Linked DNA regions of Drosophila melanogaster. The protein of the gene in region 3 interacts with the protein of the main gene of each other region in a pairwise test. Each region holds a gene or a part of one and is shown on either strand. Other genes may lie near its edges.

Evidence for each region.
Region 1: the proteins of Rcc1 (region 3) and CG11899 interact in a two-hybrid assay, tested with the Drosophila melanogaster proteins (one large-scale study listed by BioGRID).
Region 2: the proteins of Rcc1 (region 3) and CG12723 interact in a two-hybrid assay, tested with the Drosophila melanogaster proteins (one large-scale study listed by BioGRID).

Annotation. Positions count from the first base shown.
Region 1 is NT_033777.3:29,198,734-29,204,215, forward strand, and holds CG11899 (uncharacterized protein), read left to right. Parts: upstream 1-1,720; 5' UTR 1,721-1,787; coding exon 1,788-1,832; intron 1,833-1,917; coding exon 1,918-2,594; intron 2,595-2,650; coding exon 2,651-3,023; 3' UTR 3,024-3,037; downstream 3,038-5,482. Other genes in the region: CG14515 (uncharacterized protein), read left to right, coding at 352-424; Mesh1 (metazoan SpoT homolog-1), read right to left, coding at 3,059-3,175, 3,237-3,581, 3,649-3,726; Cyt-c1L (cytochrome c1-like), read right to left, coding at 3,968-5,002. UniProt on the Drosophila melanogaster protein: Catalyzes the reversible conversion of 3-phosphohydroxypyruvate to phosphoserine and of 3-hydroxy-2-oxo-4-phosphonooxybutanoate to phosphohydroxythreonine.
Region 2 is NC_004354.4:13,187,198-13,193,654, reverse strand, and holds CG12723 (uncharacterized protein), read left to right. Parts: upstream 1-1,771; 5' UTR 1,772-1,882; coding exon 1,883-2,653; intron 2,654-2,718; coding exon 2,719-3,619; intron 3,620-3,682; coding exon 3,683-3,888; 3' UTR 3,889-4,012; downstream 4,013-6,457. Other genes in the region: Coq5 (coenzyme Q5), read left to right, coding at 21-323; Lgr4 (Leucine-rich repeat-containing G protein-coupled receptor 4), read left to right, coding at 4,727-4,745.
Region 3 is NT_037436.4:5,929,670-5,938,405, reverse strand, and holds Rcc1 (regulator of chromosome condensation 1), read left to right. Parts: upstream 1-5,632; 5' UTR 5,633-6,000; intron 6,001-6,088; 5' UTR 6,089-6,124; coding exon 6,125-6,788; intron 6,789-6,847; coding exon 6,848-7,827; 3' UTR 7,828-8,144; downstream 8,145-8,736. Other genes in the region: Egfrap (EGFR adaptor protein), read left to right, coding at 438-577, 674-1,007, 3,713-4,001, 4,072-4,352, 4,415-4,636. UniProt on the Drosophila melanogaster protein: Promotes the exchange of Ran-bound GDP by GTP. Involved in the regulation of onset of chromosome condensation in the S phase. Binds to chromatin.

The DNA.
Region 1 (5,482 bases), on a different chromosome or scaffold from region 3:
ACACTTGTCTCATTTGTCATTCTACCAAAACCAAAATATGCAAATATGGGTATTAATCACAAACAGACAAGCAAAGTTTATGGACACATCTTGCACAAGATCTGAAATCAATCATCATAGTACACTAAGGGAATTAATGCACAGAATTATAAGCTATAAAATGTATTATTTTCTCCATAACCATTTGATTTGAAAGTACTGTAGTCCAGTGTCGTCTCACCTTAAAAATCATCTGCTAATATTGCCTAATCATTGTCTACTAACTATTTATAGACTTCCTTGCGAATAAATTAGAAAAAATCATGACTTGCGAGCAACCATAAGAATTAACATTTTCACTTTTCGCTGCAGGGGCACTGTGCTACAGGAGTACGGAACGTTTTGGAGCGACATTGTGAACAAAGTGCAGGCGGAGCGGCCATAACTGAAATTATGTACTTACTTTTAAGGCAGCCGGGCAATAAATCTTAAAAACCCTAATTAGTCAAAACGAAATTGTTGTTTGAGGATTTTTTTTCGACTGCCATTCACCATTCCGACGTCTTGGACGTCGGACGCCAAAGGCGCCCCATTGAGCTGTGCAATCAACATTACAGGGCAAAATTATTGGCTTTTTGGCTCAGCGCTTATGAATGACCAGCCCACATCCCAGCGCCCAACGAGGCGAACCAGTTCCCGTCGCCCACCACAGACAGCACCTTGCCACCCACATCCGCCCACATCCTCCCACCCACTCCACTCCAAGTCCGAAATGGAACGCACGAGCCGAGCACGTTTGGGTTTCCAGACACGTTGGCCAGCTTCTCATAGGAAATTCGTTTTGGGCGCCCCGGCAAATTGGAAACTCTAAGCACCTTTCAGGCTGGCTGTGCTATAAAGTAATTAGACGGCCAACGAATTTGACCAAGACATAGGCCAAGATAAGTATTCGTAGCATAGGTCTAAAGCACTTCTGATTGATTGCCCTTACAACAATAGGAAGCGGATAAGGATAAGGAATCGGTTTGCAGATATGACCAGGCGTGCAAAAGAGTTCGCGGAATTGCTAATCGGCAGACGGTTTGTTTTGCTTGAAATTTACTACCAATTATGGTAGCCAACTTACTTAAGCCTTAGTTAAATATATAATGCCTAATATTGGTTATACTCTACAGATAATTCAATAAAAAGCTATGAAATCATAAACTCACTGTCGCATGCATCGAAGCTCCACTGTACATTGCACTTACACATTTCGCTTGCAGCTTGTTTACTCGCCTGCGAACTCAGTCGCTCGCTTGTTATTGTCATTCCAGCGAAAAGTGCATGGCAACCCACGCTGGCTTGGGGGCGGGGCACACACACGATGAAGTGGGGGGGTTACTGGGAAGCACTTTGTTTTCGTGCGTTGCACATATGTACATATGTATGTATGTACGTACATATGTAATTATATACGTTAGCCGACTTGTTTTGATCGAATTCGCCGTACCGCCGCCTGCCTTTGTCTGGCTTTATGGACTCCACAGGAGCGCAGCCCAAAATGGGGGGCTTGGAGTCGAACACCCTCCCGGTGGAGAATCCGTCCCTGGAGCAACCGAGTTCGTTGTCCAGTCGGGCGAATTTGAGTCTGGTTTTCCGCACGCGTTTTGTTTACTGTCCGGTGACTTGTTGCTGTTCTCTGTGCCCGCCTTCGTCTCGTTTATCAGCGATTGCGAATACTCGCACGGACTGCTCAACACTTTAGTCAATATTTAGCCGCTTCCCGGAGAGGTTCATAGATCGCAGACGCACTACATAGTATCAGCATGGTTATCAACTTCGCCGCCGGTCCAGCCAAGTTGCCCGAAGAGGTCGGTGAAATGGGTGGCACCACTCCACACACGTGACGTGTAATAGTAACCTTGATTACATGGTTATCTCTATCTGCATATATAGGTACTGAAAGAGGTGCAGGAAAATCTTGTCAACTGCAATGGCAGCGGCATCTCGGTCATGGAGATGTCCCATCGCTCCAGCAACTATGCCAAGATCCATGATGCGACCATCAGCGATCTTCGCGAACTCCTCAATGTGCCCAGTAACTACAAGATTCTGCTGATGCAGGGCGGTGGCACCGGACAGTTCGCTGCAGTGGCTCTGAACTTGATTGGCAAGACTGGCACTGCTGATTATGTAATCACCGGCTCCTGGTCGGCCAAGGCGGCCAAGGAGGCGGCTCAGTACGGCACTGTGAACGCGGTGCTGCCCAAGTTGGCAAAGTATACAACTGTTCCACGACAGGAGACCTGGAAGCTGGACCCAAATGCCTCATATGTCTACTACTGCGACAATGAGACCGTAGAGGGCGTGGAGTTCGACTTTGTGCCCGAGGTTCCAGCCGGTGTGCCACTGGTGGCCGATATGTCCTCCAATTTTCTGTCGCGTCCCTTCGATGTCTCCAAGTTTGGCGTTATCTATGCGGGAGCCCAGAAGAATATCGGACCAGCGGGCACCACGGTGATCATTGTCAGGGACGATTTGATAGGCAAGCACTTGAAGATTACGCCCTCCATCCTCAACTTTGAGCAGATGGACAAGAACAACTCCCTGTTAAATACTCCGCCGACCTTTGGGTGAGCCCAGAATGATACATGGCTGGTGAATTCTTTGTTAAACTTTCCCCTTGCAGCATCTATGTGATGGGCCTGGTTTTCAAGTGGATCAAGCGGAACGGAGGAGTCGCTGGTATGGCCAAGCTGGCGGCAGCCAAGTCCAAGTTGATTTACGACACGATCAACCAGTCGAATGGTTTCTACTACTGCCCAGTGGATGTCAATGTGCGTTCGCGCATGAATGTGCCCTTCCGTATTGGCAGTGCCAGTGGAGATGATGCCCTGGAGAAGGAGTTCCTGAGCAAAGCCGAGGCCGAGGGCATGATTCAGTTGAAGGGTCATCGGTCGGTGGGCGGCATTCGAGCCTCCCTCTACAATGCTGTAACGCTGGCGGAGACCCAACAGTTGGCCAATCTGATGCTGGCCTTTTACAAGAACAATAAAAATTGAACAGGTTCATCTGTAATTTGTTGGTTTTTGATCGTTTACAAAAGGCCGCGTTGGCGGAAGATCTCGTCCAGCTTGAGCTCCAGGTTGGCGTTGGTTCCTCGCAGATTGTCCACCACCTTTTTGGCCCAAACGAAGTACTGATCACGACGCTCCTGGAATGAAAATATGTGATCCATAAGGTTCCGTTTTTCAAACCAAGATGGGCCCAAATACCTGTGTCCACCCTGTCGGTGTGTTGACTTGCAGATCCCTTAGGTTATCCAATTTGTCAGCCAGCTTTATGAGCTTTGCTCTGCAGCTGCTTTTGGCTGCATTTTCTATTTGCAGGCGTTTTCTCTCCTGTTTCTCCAGGGACTTGTCGTCCGTCACCTCCCTCACTAGTCCACAAACATCCGGTCCAAAGAGTTTCTCAACATCCTCGAAAGATGCGTCCGTATCCTCCACGACATCGTGCAGAAGTGCAGCCATTAGGACTCCCTCATCTGTGATGCAGGCCTCCACGGAGAGAATAGTGCTCACATTGATCACATGGTTCACATAGGGGGTTTCCTGAGGATCCTTGAAATGTAAAAAAGATAGTATTCATGTTTTAAATATATCATTTGTTGCGTTTTAATAAGCTTACCTTGCGACGTTGCTGCCGGTGCTTAAAAGCTGCATATTGGAGGCACTCCATGAATTTGGCAGATGGATATGTGGCCATTGTTGTAAGAAATAATTAAATGAACGGGCCTTTAGTTCAAATTTAAAGTCTAAACCTTATTTTTTGCATTTATTTACATTTTTAACATAACAGCTGACTTAACAGACCGGCAAGAATCTATAACAGAGCAATTGTTGGTGCTTTACAGCGCGGATGGTTAGGCCCTGGAAAACCTATCGATAAATAAAAAGCGCGGCATTCATTTAAATTCAAAAACCTTTATTTAAACAGTTCACCAAACTTAGTCCTTCTTCTCGTTCTGGTTCTCGCACTTGTTGCACTCCTGCTCCTTGGCCTTGCGCGCTGCTTTGGCGGCCTCCTCCGCCTCTCTTTTGGCCTGGGCCTCCAGTTCGGGAATGAAGAAGATCTTGCGAGACTTGAGCGTTGACCACTTAAAACGCTTGATGTAGTAGGAAATGCCAATCAAAAAGGTCGAAATCAGAGTAACTTTGATGAGCAGCAGGCGACGTTCGTCGGTCTCCGGTTCTGAAGTCCACTTGAGGAAGACGCACACATCCTTGGCAATTTGGGCGGCCGAAGCAGGCACATTTGGATCTTCAAAGGAGACCACCTCATTGTCAACTACCTTGCCCATGGCAATCGCTCCGCCCGAGAAGTACGGATTGAAGTACAGTCCATCACGAAGGGCAAAACCAGCCGGAGGATCACAGTATCCGGTGAGCAGGGAGAACACGTAATCCTCGCCGCCCTTGCGAGCCGACACAATATAGCTGAGATCCGGCGGATAGGAGCCATTGTTGGCGGAACGGGCCGCCTCCTCGTTGGCGTACGGAGAGGGGAAGTGATCGGACAGCTTGCCGGGACGCTCGTAGTACTCGCCCTCCTCGTTGGGCCCATCCCGCACCGTGATGGCCTCCGCCTCGGCCTTGGCCTCCGCCTCCGTCATGCACACTCCCACCAGGTTGCGATAGGCCATGTACTGCAATGAGTGGCAGGAGGAGCAGACCTCCTTGTAAACGGTGTAACCTCGACGCACGCTCTCCTTGTCCAAGGCGGACAAAAGCCCTTTGTGATTCCAGTGCTGGTGGGCCGGATGCACGCAGTCCGAGGAGGCATCCACGCTGGTTTCCAGGGCGTAGATCAGCAGCCCTGCTGTTCCGGTTAGGGCTCCCAGGGCTCCCAGCAGCTTGCGATTTCCAGTAAAGCCGCTTCCACGACCCGGAAAACTTATCCGCGGACGCACCGATGTCCGCTGGATGCCGCTCATGGCCAGCTGGAAAAGTTTGCTGTTCAGACTCCTGAATTTGTTGGCCATTTTCGGTCGGATTCAGCTTTATCTCTCAAAACGATTTATTTACAATGTCAACGCAACCAGTGTTGGAAAGCTCTGTCGACTGGGGTTGTCACCACTTGGGGAAATATGTTCTGTCGAAATGAAATCACGTGTGTTGCGGTAAGTTAATATTTTAATTATTATATATTAATTTAAATATAACACCATCACATGCAAAATTACGGATCAAGTGAATGGCTTAAATGCAGTAATAACAATATACATTATCAATTGAAAGATTAACACTTAGGAATCTATCTTTACTGTACTCACCTATGGCAAAATATTAGACTTCCTCCTTTGATGGCAAAAAATCGTCATTGCGAAGAAAATATGTAATTGTTTGGAAATATTGAAATGTGTAAAAGTATAAGCTTTTTCACAACAATTTTTTAATGACATTTCACACAAAGCCGGCAAGAGCAACCTTTACCTACTAATTAAGATACATATCGATCGAAA
Region 2 (6,457 bases), on a different chromosome or scaffold from region 3:
ATTTCTCCCTTCCATCTAAGGTTCTTTCTGAAGCGTATCGAGTGCTGCAGCCGGGCGGACGATTCATGTGCCTGGAGTTCAGTCATCTGACGAACGAAACGATGCAATGGCTATATGACCAGTACTCCTTCCAGGTGATTCCGCCCATGGGCCAATTGCTGGCTGGTCAGTGGCAGGCGTACCAGTATCTCGTTGAGAGCATCCGACGGTTTCCCAAGCAGGAGCAATTCAAGCAAATGATCGAGCAGGCCGGATTCGATCAGGTGTCCTACGAGAACCTAACCTTCGGCGTGGTCAGCATTCACTCCGGCTTCAAACTGTGACAGCCGAGGATGATATTTGTTGTAAGCGATTAGGAAATCCTAAGACCATTTGATGGGGCTTAACTATAATCTATATTGTTGGTTTTTTGCGTTTTTTCATGCTGCTCACGTCGGGCAGGTCATAAAGCATCGAATTAAACAAGCTCCTCTGGCGGCTTTTATTTCTGTATGTTTACATTTTGAGGTTTATGTAGCTCTTTGTCAAATATATGTACTTCATGTGCCAAAAGGCAAACCCAAACGGCAAACTGATGACATCTCCGGCGGCAAGGCCTGGGAAAGACCTTGAGGATTGTGTGCCAGACCCACTTAGATGCAAAGGGCGATATGGTGGTAGCCCAATAACCGAACTGTACCAGATGCCAGGTGTAAGGCACTGTAATCGATTTAAATTCCACACACCCAACGGGTCGTTTCCAAAAAAAAGTGAAAATCTCCATGTAGGCTAATCGAAAGTCCATTTACGGCGATGGGATGTGATATAATGCAGAAACTATCCACTTATCTATTGACTTCAGTTCGCCATCAGATGTAGTGCAGGTGAAATTTATGCGTGTGAATGTTGAATTTTAACGAAATTCAAATAATAGCATTGAAATGCCATCAAAATAATTGACCGTGCCATGCTTAATAGGTAATTGCTAATTGGTGCTTTGCAATTGTGCGCTTTTGCTTTTATTACAATGGCTTTATTATGCTTTCACCCGGCGACTGATTAACACGGATTGGACACCCGAATAGCCGCCCATATTATTGGCCGGATTATGTAAGCGGAGACACATTTGATTTGTATCTAAATTGCAGCCAAATCATAAACCTTCGGACCTTCCATCTCCGGCAATCGAAAGTGAAAAGAGTCCGGCGATAAAAAACAAAAAAAACTGAGCACAAAAAGCATGCGGAACATGCAGGCCATTGAAAGCAAAAGTTTGGTGCGTGCGGCAACGTGCTGCGCATGCGTAGGTGGATTCCGGCCAATGGGACAGTGGAGCGGGGCCAGGCAATCAGTGGGACTAGTGGGCAAAGTTGTTGGCAAACTATATAGAGTTTTAGCCTTTTAGATTTTTATGATAATAATCTCGATATCTGAATAAGAAGTAAACTTAGATATGAAGTGTAGTAGGAATATTCCATACTTGAGGAATATACATACCATATATATGCGCACAATCTACGGTACCACAGTGCGTGGTCAGGTGGCGCAGCATAATGAGGCGCTGCTCAGTGGTCAGTGGTCAGTGGGTGAGGGGTCTTCGATTGCGGCAGGTGAAATGGCAGCGTAAAAGTCATAAACTGCCCAATCCATGCCGTATGCCATGCCGATGAGCCGCTGACGGTGGTGCATTGCTAGCACCACCAGTGCCACCGATTGGTATGCACAGTGGGTATGTGCCACTCCACTGTGCCGCGATGTCCGCTTTATAAATACAACAGCGACCAAGGAAGTTCATTTCATTTTCTTGTCGGCGATCGCAGCAAACGGATTAAACGCGAGGCGAGGCGATATATTACATAGTGTCCAAATATACGCATATAGAAATCAAGTCCACTGAATCGAAATGAATCTCTTGGCCAGTTCGAGGAGCCTCCATCTTCTGATGGTCTTGGCTGTCATCTTGGTTTCTCATCGAGCTGAGGCGGGCTTACGTTTGCGTCACACCAGTCGATCGGTCACGCCCCCCGCCAGCACAACGCCCACTTTGACAGTGACCTCCGAGGATGCCCCGCTACAAGAGGAATCGGTGGCGGAGAGTGCCCCAACGGCCAGTGTGGTTACCGAACCGGAAACGGAAGTGGAGGTCACGACCGGAAAGCACAAGCGTGGCATTCTACACGGCCACGCCCACCTGCACGGCCAATGGCCCGCCCGCACCTATGCCGCCCACTACGGCTATAGCCTGCAGCTGCCAGGAGGCAGTGCCTTCCTGGCCGCCGCTCCTCCGCGCCGCCACTTCGTCAAATACGGCCATGGTCTGGTCAAGCCGCTCGTTTCCGGTTCCGGTTTGCTGCCCGCCTTAGCTCCCGCACCCGCTGCCCTGCTGCCCGCCGTCGCCTCAGCCCTGCCCGTTGGATTGCCCACCGGTCTGCCCGGTGGCGTGGCCAGTGCCATTCCCGCCGGAGTCGCTACTGCCTTGTCCACCGGCGTGGCCACCGCTTTGTCCACCGCCGTGGCTCCGCCCTCGTACGTCCTGCGTCCCGGAAATGCGGTCGTCTCCTCGTACAGCGTCAACTATCCGCACCAGCACCTGCAGAAGCCCGTGGTCTTTCAGTCCGCCGTAAAGCCTGTCCACTTCCATGCTCCGGCTCATGGCCATGTGCATGCCGTGCAGGTGAGTTAGCTACATAGGAAACTTGTGGAATATCCCGTTGACCATTTCATTCTTTTCTGTTGCAGCCCACTTATGTGCAGACCTATGCTCCGACTGCTCCGGCAGTGCCTGTTCAGCCCGTGCAGCCAGTGCAGCCAGTTCATCATCTCCAGCCCATTCAGCCCCTTCAACCGGTGCAACCGGTGACCACCCATCTGCAGCCAGTTAGCCCAATCCAACCGGTTCAGCCCCTTCAACCGGTTCAACCCATCCAACCTACAGTGACCTTCGGTGTTCCGTCTCCCCCAGCTGTGGATTTGCCGGTGATCCCTCAGTTCCCACAACCGCCTCAGTTCCCCGGTGTGCCGACCTTTAGCTTCCAGCCCGCTCAGCCAGCGGTGCCAGCCCAACCCGCTGTGCCCGCCCAGCCGGCAGTTCCAGCTGCACCAGAAGCCCCAGAAGTGCCACAGGTTCCCGCCATTCCACAGATTCCGGCCATACCGCAGATACCCCAAATACCACAATTTCCCGGATTCCCTCAATTTCCCGGCTTTCCCCAGATTCCCCAGTTCCCCCAGGCGCCAGCCATTCCATCACCTCCCTCCGTTCCAGGAGTTCCAGCTGTACCCACGGTCCCGGCCTTCCCCAGTCCACCAACTAGCCAATTCTTTCCGGCTGCTCCACAGCCACCATTGCCGCAGCAGCCACCCACTTTTGGCCAACCAGAGTCGCAATTCCCCGGCGGAATTGTACCGCTGCCGGGCTCCACTCCCGTCCGCCCTGAATCCGGCACGGGTATAGCCTCGCCGCAGATTCCCCCACAATCACCCGAGCCGGAGACGCCGTCGGAGGTGCCACCACAGCGGCCATCCGTCCAGCAGCCCTGGAAGCCGGTATTCTATAGTCCACCCACCGAATCCGCGCCAGCGTCGCCGAATCGACCCTCGATCACCCTGCTCCCGCCATACGGAAGTGCGCCAGCTGAAGGTGAGCTCAGATGACGTTATGGATATATATTATTATGCTATATTTCAAACGAATATTTTCCAGGTTACCTGCCACCCGTGGGATCCCAACCGTCGGCCCTGAGTGCCAGTAGTGCCGGAATCGGTGGTCAGGGCGGCATCTTTGACCAGCTGACCGATGCCGAGCTGGAGCACATTTTCGCCCAGGCCAACTTGGCGCAGCAGCAGCACCAGCAGCAGCAGCAGCAGCAGCAACAGCAGCAACAGGGCCACAACTACCACCACTACTGAGTCCACCACTCACTCCACCTAGGGATCTTTTCAAATTTTTTTTTGTTTTTTTTTTTTAAGCCTTCGTTCATTTGTGCTCTACTTGTATTGTAAATTATGTTGCTATTAAATAAGTTATTTATCGAAAAATTGAACAGATCGTTTATTTATTGCGTAATAATAATAAATATAATAAATAATTTAAATAACTAATTCTATTGCAAAGTATATGCGAGATATAGACATAATATCTTAGTTTATTTCCTTTTGGCACATACATATTATCTATTTGAATTTCATTAGGAAATTCCCTTTGGCTCGGCGCATTTTCATTTCCTGAGCTTTTCCGGCGCGCGCTTTTCCCCCAAAGGGCTTTTCACCTTGAACTTGGCGTTCGTTGGTTTCTTTGGAGCTTTTCCCGTTCAGCTTTTCATTCATAAATTGCCAGCCGGCGCGCTGAATGAGTGCGTTGTGTGCTTGGTTGGGTGAAAAGTGGGCGGTTGGGCGGTCGGCTGGGCGGCGCCAGTGGGCGGGGCACCTGGAAAGGCCGCATGCCACATGTTGCAGGCATTCGCTCGCCTTTTTTTCAGCTCAGTTGTTTGTTATCGTTGGCGGCGAACGCGCGTCTGCTGCGGACCAAAAATCGACTATATTCCGACTATATACCGCGCATATATATTTTTGGATCCACCGATCCGCGATCTTACACATTGAAGTGCGGCGAAGTTTTATTTTGATTTTGATTCTTTTTGGTTTTTTTTTGTTTTTTTTTTGTGCTGTGCCCATCAGAGTCTATAATTAAATATTGTTTATTGCCCGTTGAGACGGTGGAAGAAAAAAAAAGCGAAGAACTCCCTGGATGTCAATAGCGATCATGCGTACGTCCCGGAATAATAAACAATACCCCTTTTTTTGTTTGTGTGTATATTTATCGGTGCAGTTATAGAGAGATGCCAGATATCCCCCGATTCCAATGTGTATAGGTTTTTATCTACTTTATTCGCAATGTTTGTGTGGCATTTTAACGCGAATCGAAATAATAAACCCGGCCAAGATATTGACCATCTGCGGATGTGAAAGTGCCTGGGATTTTCGATGGTTGTGTGAATGTTATCCATGCGATAATTGAGGGTTTATAATTTAAGTGTGCTACCTTTAGGAAATTCATATGAAATATACATATATGTATATATAGGAGGGTATTTCAAGTTTGGATTCAAATTGAAATTAAAGCTAAGACAACATAAAGAATACAAAAAAAAAAAAAAATCATTGAGAAAAATGGCATGAAATCGAATACAGGCTTGAACATTTTTTAAATGGATAGTGATGGCAAAAAGTATACAAGCCAAAACTTTCGAAAATGAAATAATTTTACAAAGAAATTCCAAAAGTTATATGCACGAAAAGGTGCAAAAGTGATGAAAGTTCTGGATGTTTGACAAAGTTCAAAGGGCACCAAGAAGTTTTTCGAATAAAGTTTGAGCTCGAGAAAACATAAATGTCCGCGAATAAAAAGTGCATTAGATACAAAAGTTTTTCTTTTTTTTGCCGGTGCGTTGCTCAATTTTTTTTTTATGTTTAAAGTTATATAATAAGAGTACTGAAAGAGTTTGCAAATAAATAAATGAAACTATTTAAGGCATACAAAGAAATGCTACGAATTTTTGGAATATACATATAGAAATGATGCAGGTTTTCTTAGGTGTAAAAATGTAAAATCATTATGCCAAAACATTTTACACAATCCAATCAAAATGTTGATGATTGACAGGAATTCGCGTTGGGCGGTTCGAAAAATGCACCGAATTTGTATTTGTATCGAAACGATTTTCAATTAAAATTCTGTTCCAATTTGCATATTAATTTATGTTATTAAAATGGAGCTGACGCCTCAATGTCTGGTATTTTGCGCCATCTCTGTCGCTCCCAGTGCCGGCAATGTCTATTTCTATCTCTGTCGATCGATGGGTCTGTGTAAAAATTTTGTAATAAAATGTCATTAAGTGTAAGTGCGTGGTGCCGTTTAGATTTATGTGCCCGAATGAATTGCAAATGCCTAGGCGAGAAGGATATGTTCGGTTTGGAAAAGTTGAAAGGGTGGTCTGCACTGGTCCAGGGTGGACTAGGGTGGCCCAGAATGGGAGCCCACCGGTCTCCTTGTGGTTCCGGTGGCCAGAAAACTGGGCGCTGACCTGACAACGCTTGGTGCCCCAAAGTTGTGTTATTAGTTGTAACTGCGTTGGCAGCTTAGACAAATCCGTTCATCCCCACTATATAGCACAAATATATACATACATATATTATATATAGACATATATATATATATATATATATATATAGCTAGCGCCCTGGCTACGGGGATTATTTGTCTAGTCCCACCCCACAAACCACATCTTTTAATGAGCCACCGAAAACCAAGTGGAATGTGTCAATTAAGTGGGGGTAGTCTCCCTTCAACATCCCCCCCCTTCAAATTCTATTAAATTCACCAAAACTATTTGCGTAAGCTGCTTGGGGTAATTATTAGTTTTTTTTTTCTTTCTGTATTTATTATAAGCTTAGTCGCGGGATTGTTTAATGATGGCAT
Region 3 (8,736 bases):
AGCCAGTTGTGGGCACAAAGTTTGCAGTCAGAAAGGCTTAAAGCCTTTTCCAAACTGGCAGCAACTTAAAGAGGGGCAAAACTTCTGGCTGAAGGCGGAAAATTTTGCACTGCAAGAATAAGTCAAGAAATCATCAACGATGCCATTAGCATAGGGTCCAGAAGTGACCGAACTTCTGCCCCTTAGTGGTGGCAAAAAGTTTTGTGGCTTTCTTTTTCGAAAGGGGTTGCCAAGAGTTTTAACAAGCTCCTTACATTTTCTTCCCCCTTGCGGGAAAAATAGGAATATAGTCTCGTCTTGGAAAATAACTTAATAATTAGGTGGCTTGAAATGAATCTAAAATATGTGCAAACTTAAGTGTTATATGCATAAACTATTTTTCTACACGTTTTTGAACAGATGCTTTGAATGTTTGAGGCAAGATATATGAAGTACCAATGATCATGCAGGATATACGCCTACGCCTGGAACCACAGCACAGTAAAGCCACATTCATATCCTCCTCCTCGGCCTCATCGTCCTCATCCCAAACAGCTGAGACCACGCTGATTGAGACAGCTGAGAAGTCGCCAGCCAGGTGAGTGTAGGGAAGGGAAGGGCAGAAGTAACTCCCTTAATCTTTAACGCAAAGTATACCTCGTCCTTAATCCTCTCGCTCATTTGTTAACCGCAGTGAAGCAGCTGCTGGAACAGTGACAACGACATCGCCGCAGCATTTCTTCCATCATCATCATCCGCCGGCTCATCCGCATCCGCCCCGCCAGCAGCCGCATCCGCATAGCCACTCGCATCCGCATCCGCATCCGCAACTCCAGCGCCGCCCGGTGGAGCAGCTGCATCTGCTGCATAGCCACCACGATGTCCAGGAGCTGTCCGGACAGGAGCATCCACATCCGCAACCCGGCTCGCATCCGCATCCGCACCATCTGCGCTCGCCCAGCTCCGAGGAGGATAATTCGCCCACAGAAATGAATAATTGCCGTCGTTTGGTGGATAAGCCGCCGCTGGTAAGTTCTGCGAGGGTTCACTGTAAGAAATGGTAGTCATATTTTAAAAAGCTGTCGGAAAAATATAAGAAAGCCCTTTATATTGTAGGGTAACACTTCTATATATATTATGCAAAAGGAAATAATAACTCTGAATGGCAGGTCATAATGTATGCCCACTGATTTTTTTCAATACATAACTTATTCTCATTTTTTGCCGATTCCGCTAGTTAATATTAACTATTAGCCAATGTATTGAAAACAGAGACGGATTTTGCGATGCCAGTCGAGGGAGCAATCATTTTTTTTTTTGTTTTGCTTTGTTGCCAGGCTCCTTTGTTGGCCATTTCTCATTGCTCGCAAATTACTTTGCACAGAGCATAAATCTGCTTACGCTGATGATTTGCCAGGAAACAAGAGCTGGTGGGGGAATTTGAAAGGAATTACCTATTGGAGGAGCATCGGCTGGGGATGCACTTAGTGAAAGAAATGCCAGGTAGCGGCGGAAAAGGAAAACTTCAGATCGAGACAGCATTTACGAAATGCAAAAAGCGAGGAAAATGAGGGAAAATTCGTTCAATTCATGTTGCCTAGCTTAAATTCTCTATTTAGTTGTTTTAATTGCATAAACCTTAAATCACTTGTGTGAAATTGCGCTGCTTGAATCGAACTCGAAAGCGACAGGAGTAGGCACTTCAGGTGGAAATTGTTTTTGCCACCAAAACTGCAGCCGAAAAGGAGTTCATTAAATTAATTTGCACAAATGCAAATTTTCGAGTAACGCCACTTTGGCACGCGCCACTAACAAAGGTGCACTAGCTGCACACGACGAAAATGCAGAACAAATGGGAGGACACTGAGAGAAATAATTTAATATTACCCAAAAAGAAAATCCAGAAATATTTGAATGTAAAACATTACTAGCATTTTTTAAAAGATTTTCATGGATTTTAGCAAATTTATATAGTATATTTCAGATATTAAATTTCGCAAGAAATTTGTCACTTGACATGCGAGCATAATTCACTTGTAAAGAGCAGTCCTAAATGTGTTTAACTAAAGTTTAAAGTATTTGCAATTAAACTGCATTTTACTGTCAATTTAAATTTAGTTGAGTAGGGCATACTTAGCACTTTTAAATGCCAATTAAATGAGCAGTAACTCAATTGCCGTCCATAATCCTAAAGCGAGCATAGTTAGCTAACTAATTGCTTTCTTTTGTCGGCAACAACTTGGACCGAAACCCCGTTACCATTCATTCATAACTTTCTACTTAAACCATTTCATGGCAGGGCGTTGAATGCTTCCCATTTTGCCGTAGTGCAGTTTGAAGTTGGATAACACGAGTCCTGGTGAACAATGCAGGATGCCATGGCAAATGGCAGGCAAATGGCGTTAACTTACTGACTTTATGACACATAAATCGCAGCAACAGCGCCAAATGCAACCGACAGCCACGTGTTTTTAGGCCTAGGGAAAGGACGTGGAAAGGAATCCTTGCCAACAGGACAATGGAGCAACTTTTCTCTGGCGCCGCCTGAAAGTAGGCAACGTGCAAAAGTTTCGAACAGATAACAAGGCAAGGAGAAAATGCAAGAAAATCAAATGGCAGATGGGAGCATCGCTGCTGCGAATGCTGCTTAGACACGTCTATTGTGCCATTGTCTGGGAAAATACCTTGGAAAAGTCCAGCCCGCCTCCGCCCCATCTGCATTCTTTACGTTCGGGATTTTGCTGTGGCACTTCTGGAGCTCGAGTCCTTCGCGTTTTGCATTGCATAATGCGCTGCTGTTCCCTTCCGATTGCCATTAGCATAATGGGGGCATTAGGTTGGCACGATGCTCTGATTGCATACTTAACGACAGTGCCAAGTGCCGTCGATGCGCCAATTTAATTAGCTGCAATTGAAGCAACGAGCCTGAATCGAGCGAAAATCCTCAATTTAACTGGCCGCATACTGGCCAAGTAAATCGGCACTCATCTCCATAAAATCAACATAATTATCGCAAGTTAAGACCAAAATAAGCAAGTCCAATTTACGCTTAGACTGCTAATTACGCAACGCAATGGGAAACGATTTAAAAGCTGCAAAATGAAAACCCAAAGGCAGTAGCACAAACTTTTCGTTCGGGGCTCGAACTCATTTCAAAGTAATTTGCCGCAAAAGCCAGTGGTTGCCATAGTGGGCGTACTGTGGCCAAGGGGGCGTGGCAAGCGCTGTTTAACATTTTATTGGTAACCAAAAATTTTACACATCAATCTCGGTTGTTTTCTGTGTGGTGTGGTGGGGGGGGGGGGGGAATTGGAAGTGTGTGGCACGACGTTGTTGTGGTTCTGGCCGTGAGAGCTAAAGTGTGTTTGATGTTTGTTGGATTTTCCGGGCGGAAGCCGGAGCAGGGGTTAAGCTGTGGGGGGTGGCGCCACAAATCCCTGAATGAATACACACCTGCACCGATACTGACGGTCAGGCGAGAGTTGTCCCGAAATCGCCATTATAGCAATGCAAAAACTTTGCCAAATTGGCAGACAACATGCAACATGCAAATCGTACCACTAGCAATGGATGCACTGAAAACAAAAAGTAGTAAATGTTATTAATATTACATCACACTTTACTTAAGTTGCATAACAATTCAAAAATAACTGCATACTAAACAATGGGAATGTAATAATGGGAATGTATTAATACTTATAATTACTTTCTGTGCACTCCTATCCCTTCACAGGTGAAACGCCTGACCATGGGCATTGGACTGCTGCGGGGAACCGAGGACAGCCGCCCCCTGATGCACAGCACCTGCGGCTCCTCGCTGACCTCCGGATCCGGCTGTGGATCCACTCAGACCATCTCCGATGGCTATGTGAACGAGGCCATCTGCGAGCCGGACAAGTACGTGGCCAGCAAGTTCGGCGACTCCTGCCGCCAGTCACTGTCCGCACTGGAGAGTGCCACCCAGCGGCTGCAGGTGGAGCTGCCCGCCGCCAGCAAAAAGTATCTGAGAGAGACGTGCAGCGGTAGGTAGACTCTTATGTCACAGATATGAAATGGTTGGCTAAGGTTACCTTACTTCCGTGTAATTATCAGCCAACTCCAGTCCGAAATTGTTTCCCGGCCACAGTGCCCTGCGCCTGGATAATCTCAGCCTAGCCGAGCAGCAGGAGCTTAAGGGAGCCGCCTGGTTTCAAGCGGGCATTCCCAGGGAAATATCCCTGGAGGCCCTGTCCCGACAGAGTCCAGGTGCGTTTCTAGTGCGCCAGAGCAGCACAAAGCCGGGATGTTTCGCCCTCTCGCTGCGAGTGCCACCACCTTCACCACGAGTGGCCCACTATCTGATCCTGCGGACGCAAAGGGGCTACAAGATAAAGGTAAGTCCGAGCACATTATATATAATATTTATTATATATTATGATGGTATTTACCATTTTAGGGCTTCACCAAGGAGTTCAGTTCGCTGAAGGCGCTGATCACGCACCACTCGGTGATGCCGGAACTGTTGCCCGTGCCGCTGACCCTGCCACGCCCACCTAGTACCCGATCGCAACGATCGCAGGGCGCCTACGCAGGCGGAACCGGAAACGGGGGAGCGGACTTCGAGATGTATGGCTCGCTGAACGACTTTCGCAAAATGATGGCCGATTTGAATGTGTGACCGCTGGGCGCTCTTAATTAATTAAGTAATTATGTCACGTTGATTGAATTAAGCTGCCCAGCTTGTCACATTGTCCTGCGTCCTGTGTCCTCTGTCGCGACAGGATAACAATCTGTTTAATTTGCGTAATTGGCTGTGCTGACGACGGTTGACGTGGCTACCAATAAATAGGGTCCATGTCCATGTGTACTCGGGCCGGCAAAGGCCCACCTGTCCGACAGGTGCTGCAAAAAGTGCACAAACATTTTTTATTAAAATTGATAATAAAATCAGCTACGTGGGCGGCTGCGATGGCTGTGGTTTCGCAGGGGCGTGTTTGCATACACAAATATAGGGAATACGCTCAAATCATTTTTGCGAAACTGATTAAAAAATGGCAAAAACATGCAATATGTATACGCAAACAGACATCAAGTGATTATTATTTTTCGCGTTTTTATCAATTCTGCTCGTTTTGTACGGCTAGTGCTGAGTGGCAGATGCATCAGACAGACGTACTATACATATCTGAATGGGGGCAGTCGGATTAAATGTTAATGTTTGGGTAGGGAAATCGAGGGTCGGCTGCCGGGATTTGGAGTGCGGATGCGGAATGGGCAAAGTGGATTCTTTTTGTATTTGATGCACTCACTTTGCGGTGCAGTGGCTAGATAGACTTATATGGGAAGTAAATGAATAACCAATTATATTGTAACTCTATGTATTTTGTAATAAAGTTAATGGAAAACCTTTTCAAATAGTATTGTTTATTTTCTGATCTATAGCATGCAATATACATACAATCACGTTGAAAATGAAGCATTGGCTTAAAGGTAGAACATTTTATAATATTTAACAACAAATTTGTTTTGAAATAATGTGAGTGGGTAAGGAAAGTTTAAATTTCCCGCACATTATCGATAGCTCTTTCGATAGAATCGGTCGGCAATCGGCTCGCAAACTCGCTAGAGAACTGTTAACCAACTGTCATAGTTTGAGTTCACGCTACGCTCCATTCTAAAAGTTATCAATATCTCGAAATAAATAAACTGTGGGTTATAGCAGGCTTTGTTTTATTATTTGCAATTAGGAACAGTGCAAAGATAACAAAGATGTACTAACAATTGGTCAATAGGCGCAGAAGCGACCCTGAAATTGGAGTGTGACCTCGCTAATAGCCAGATGCGGCGGGGAATTCGCCAAGCCCGCAACACTGTACCCTGAAGGCCAGCTGCCGCCGCTTCCCGCGCATTTTCTTCGACCCAGGTAGGTCGCATTGGGATTCGCTTGCATTTGGTGTTTTCACTCGCCTCCAAACCGCCGTAGCAACACCATCTAGACAACGTGGAACTCCCGCTGAACCAGAGACCGGCATTATTTCCATTGTGAGTGTGAGCAGAACTAAGCTGCATCACCGGCGTCCCTAACCTTATATATATTTCTTACACACACACACAAACGCACTATTTCCAGTTTCGGTGACAAAAAATTGTGAAAATACAAGCTAAAATGCCGCGCAGAAAGGCCCTGACTAATAACAACAATGCCGGCGAAGCGGAGCAGCAGCCACCGAAGGCGAAGCGCGCCAGAATCGCTTTTCATCTGGAGCTGCCCAAGCGGAGGACCGTGCTCGGCAACGTGCTAGTCTGCGGCAACGGCGATGTGGGCCAACTTGGTCTCGGCGAGGACATACTGGAGCGCAAGCGTCTCAGCCCTGTGGCGGGCATCCCGGATGCCGTGGACATATCCGCCGGTGGCATGCACAACCTGGTGCTGACCAAGTCAGGGGACATTTACTCATTCGGTTGCAATGACGAAGGTGCTCTAGGCCGTGACACCAGCGAGGATGGCAGCGAGTCAAAGCCGGATCTTATCGATTTGCCCGGCAAGGCTCTGTGCATTTCGGCGGGAGACTCGCATTCCGCTTGTCTGCTGGAGGATGGCCGTGTCTTCGCTTGGGGCTCGTTCCGGGACTCTCATGGCAACATGGGCCTCACCATCGATGGTAACAAGCGTACGCCCATCGATCTGATGGAGGGCACTGTCTGTTGTAGCATCGCGTCCGGCGCCGATCATTTGGTCATCCTGACCACTGCCGGAAAGGTCTTTACCGTGGGCTGCGCTGAGCAGGGACAACTCGGCCGGCTGTCGGAGCGTTCCATCTCCGGAGAGGGTAAGTCTTGGCATTCAAATTTTCAACGAAATTCGTATTAAAAAAATGTTAACCCCCAGGTCGTCGTGGCAAACGCGACTTGCTGCGGCCCACCCAGCTCATCATCACGCGGGCCAAACCTTTTGAGGCCATCTGGGCCACCAACTACTGCACATTCATGCGCGAGTCACAGACACAGGTCATCTGGGCCACAGGGCTTAACAACTTCAAGCAGCTGGCCCACGAGACAAAGGGCAAGGAGTTCGCACTGACGCCCATCAAGACGGAACTCAAAGATATCCGACATATTGCCGGCGGTCAGCACCATACTGTCATCCTGACAACGGACCTTAAGTGTTCCGTAGTGGGTCGTCCGGAGTACGGTCGGCTTGGTCTGGGCGATGTCAAGGATGTTGTGGAGAAGCCAACGATTGTAAAGAAGCTGACCGAAAAGATTGTGTCCGTTGGATGTGGCGAAGTCTGTTCCTATGCCGTTACAATTGATGGCAAACTGTATTCCTGGGGCTCCGGTGTCAACAATCAACTAGGCGTTGGCGACGGCGATGATGAGCTCGAACCGATCGTGGTTGTCAGCAAGAACACGCAGGGGAAGCACATGCTGCTCGCATCTGGCGGTGGTCAGCACGCAATCTTTTTGGTCAAAGCGGACAAACAGGACCAGAAGGAGAATGTTCCAGTGAAGGTGTCTGGCAGCAGCAGCATCAGTAAAAAGGACAAGACCCCGCCGCAGGATAATGTCGACAAGGAAGCCGAGAATGTAGATAAGCAGGAGCAGAAGGAAAACTTGCCGGCGAAGGCGTCAACCAGCAGCAAAAAGAACAAGACGCCGCCGCAGGATAATGCCGACAAGGAAGCCGAGAATGTAGATAAGCAGGAGCAGAAGGAAAACTTGCCGGCGAAGGCGTCAACCAGCAGCAAAAAGATTAAGACGCCGCCGCAGGATGATGCCGCCGAGGAGGTCGAAGAGGAGTCTGCTCAGGAACCGACTCCCAAGAAGGCCAAGAAGCCTGCTGCCAAGCGGGGCGGTAAAAAGACATAAGATTGAGTATAAATACGCTGACTTTCCCACTTTGTTTTTGGTAACACTAAGTTACGAACCCGTACGCTTACCCTACGCTTAAGGAAGGCAATGAGTAGCCCAGATTCGTAAGATAGATCGGAAATTTTGCTTATTGTACGTTAAGATCTACGAACTGAATCCTGTTAAGTTCTTTTTATTTTGATAAATAGATGCCCGCTTATATCTTACAAGTCTGCCTAAAGACGAAAACTTCTTTATCAATCCAACTAAGTGTTTATTATATATATTCGTTCGCAATACGAAGCCGTAGTAAATTTGTATTTGAACGCAAAAGGAAACTAAATGAGATTTATTTACAAACTAATTAACTTGATTATATCATACACAAAGATATACATCCTACTCACAGTGTATTATAAATTCTTGGCTCAGGCGGGGCAAATGGGAGATTACCGGCAAAAAAGCTACAAAAGATTGGGAGATTGTCTCGTAAGCGCGAGACATCATTTACTCAATAATATCAGGAAACACGAAATTGTTACTCTTATGGTAGGTCTTAAGATTTATACAAAAATATGTATTTGCTTGGAGGGTGGTTCGATTTGCAATGAAGGGAAACATCTTAAAATTACCTTTAAAAGCAAAGGTGTCTAAACAATTCGCAGGACCCGGGAATTCATGAATGCAAGCCATTGAAGTATGTAAGAAGGCTTTAATATTTGTAGTTTTCATACCTGGCAAGGGTCAAAATGGATTATTACGTGTACAGAGGTGAACAAGTTGCATTTACTGCTGAACAAATCGAACCACCCTGGCATGCACAGTTGAGGGTTTTGGCTTCACTACGAGTAGTAACACGGCTGACGATTGCCTCTGCCTGAGTCGACTGTGGCTAGGGAGGTGGTTATGGTAGTGGTGGTGGAGTTT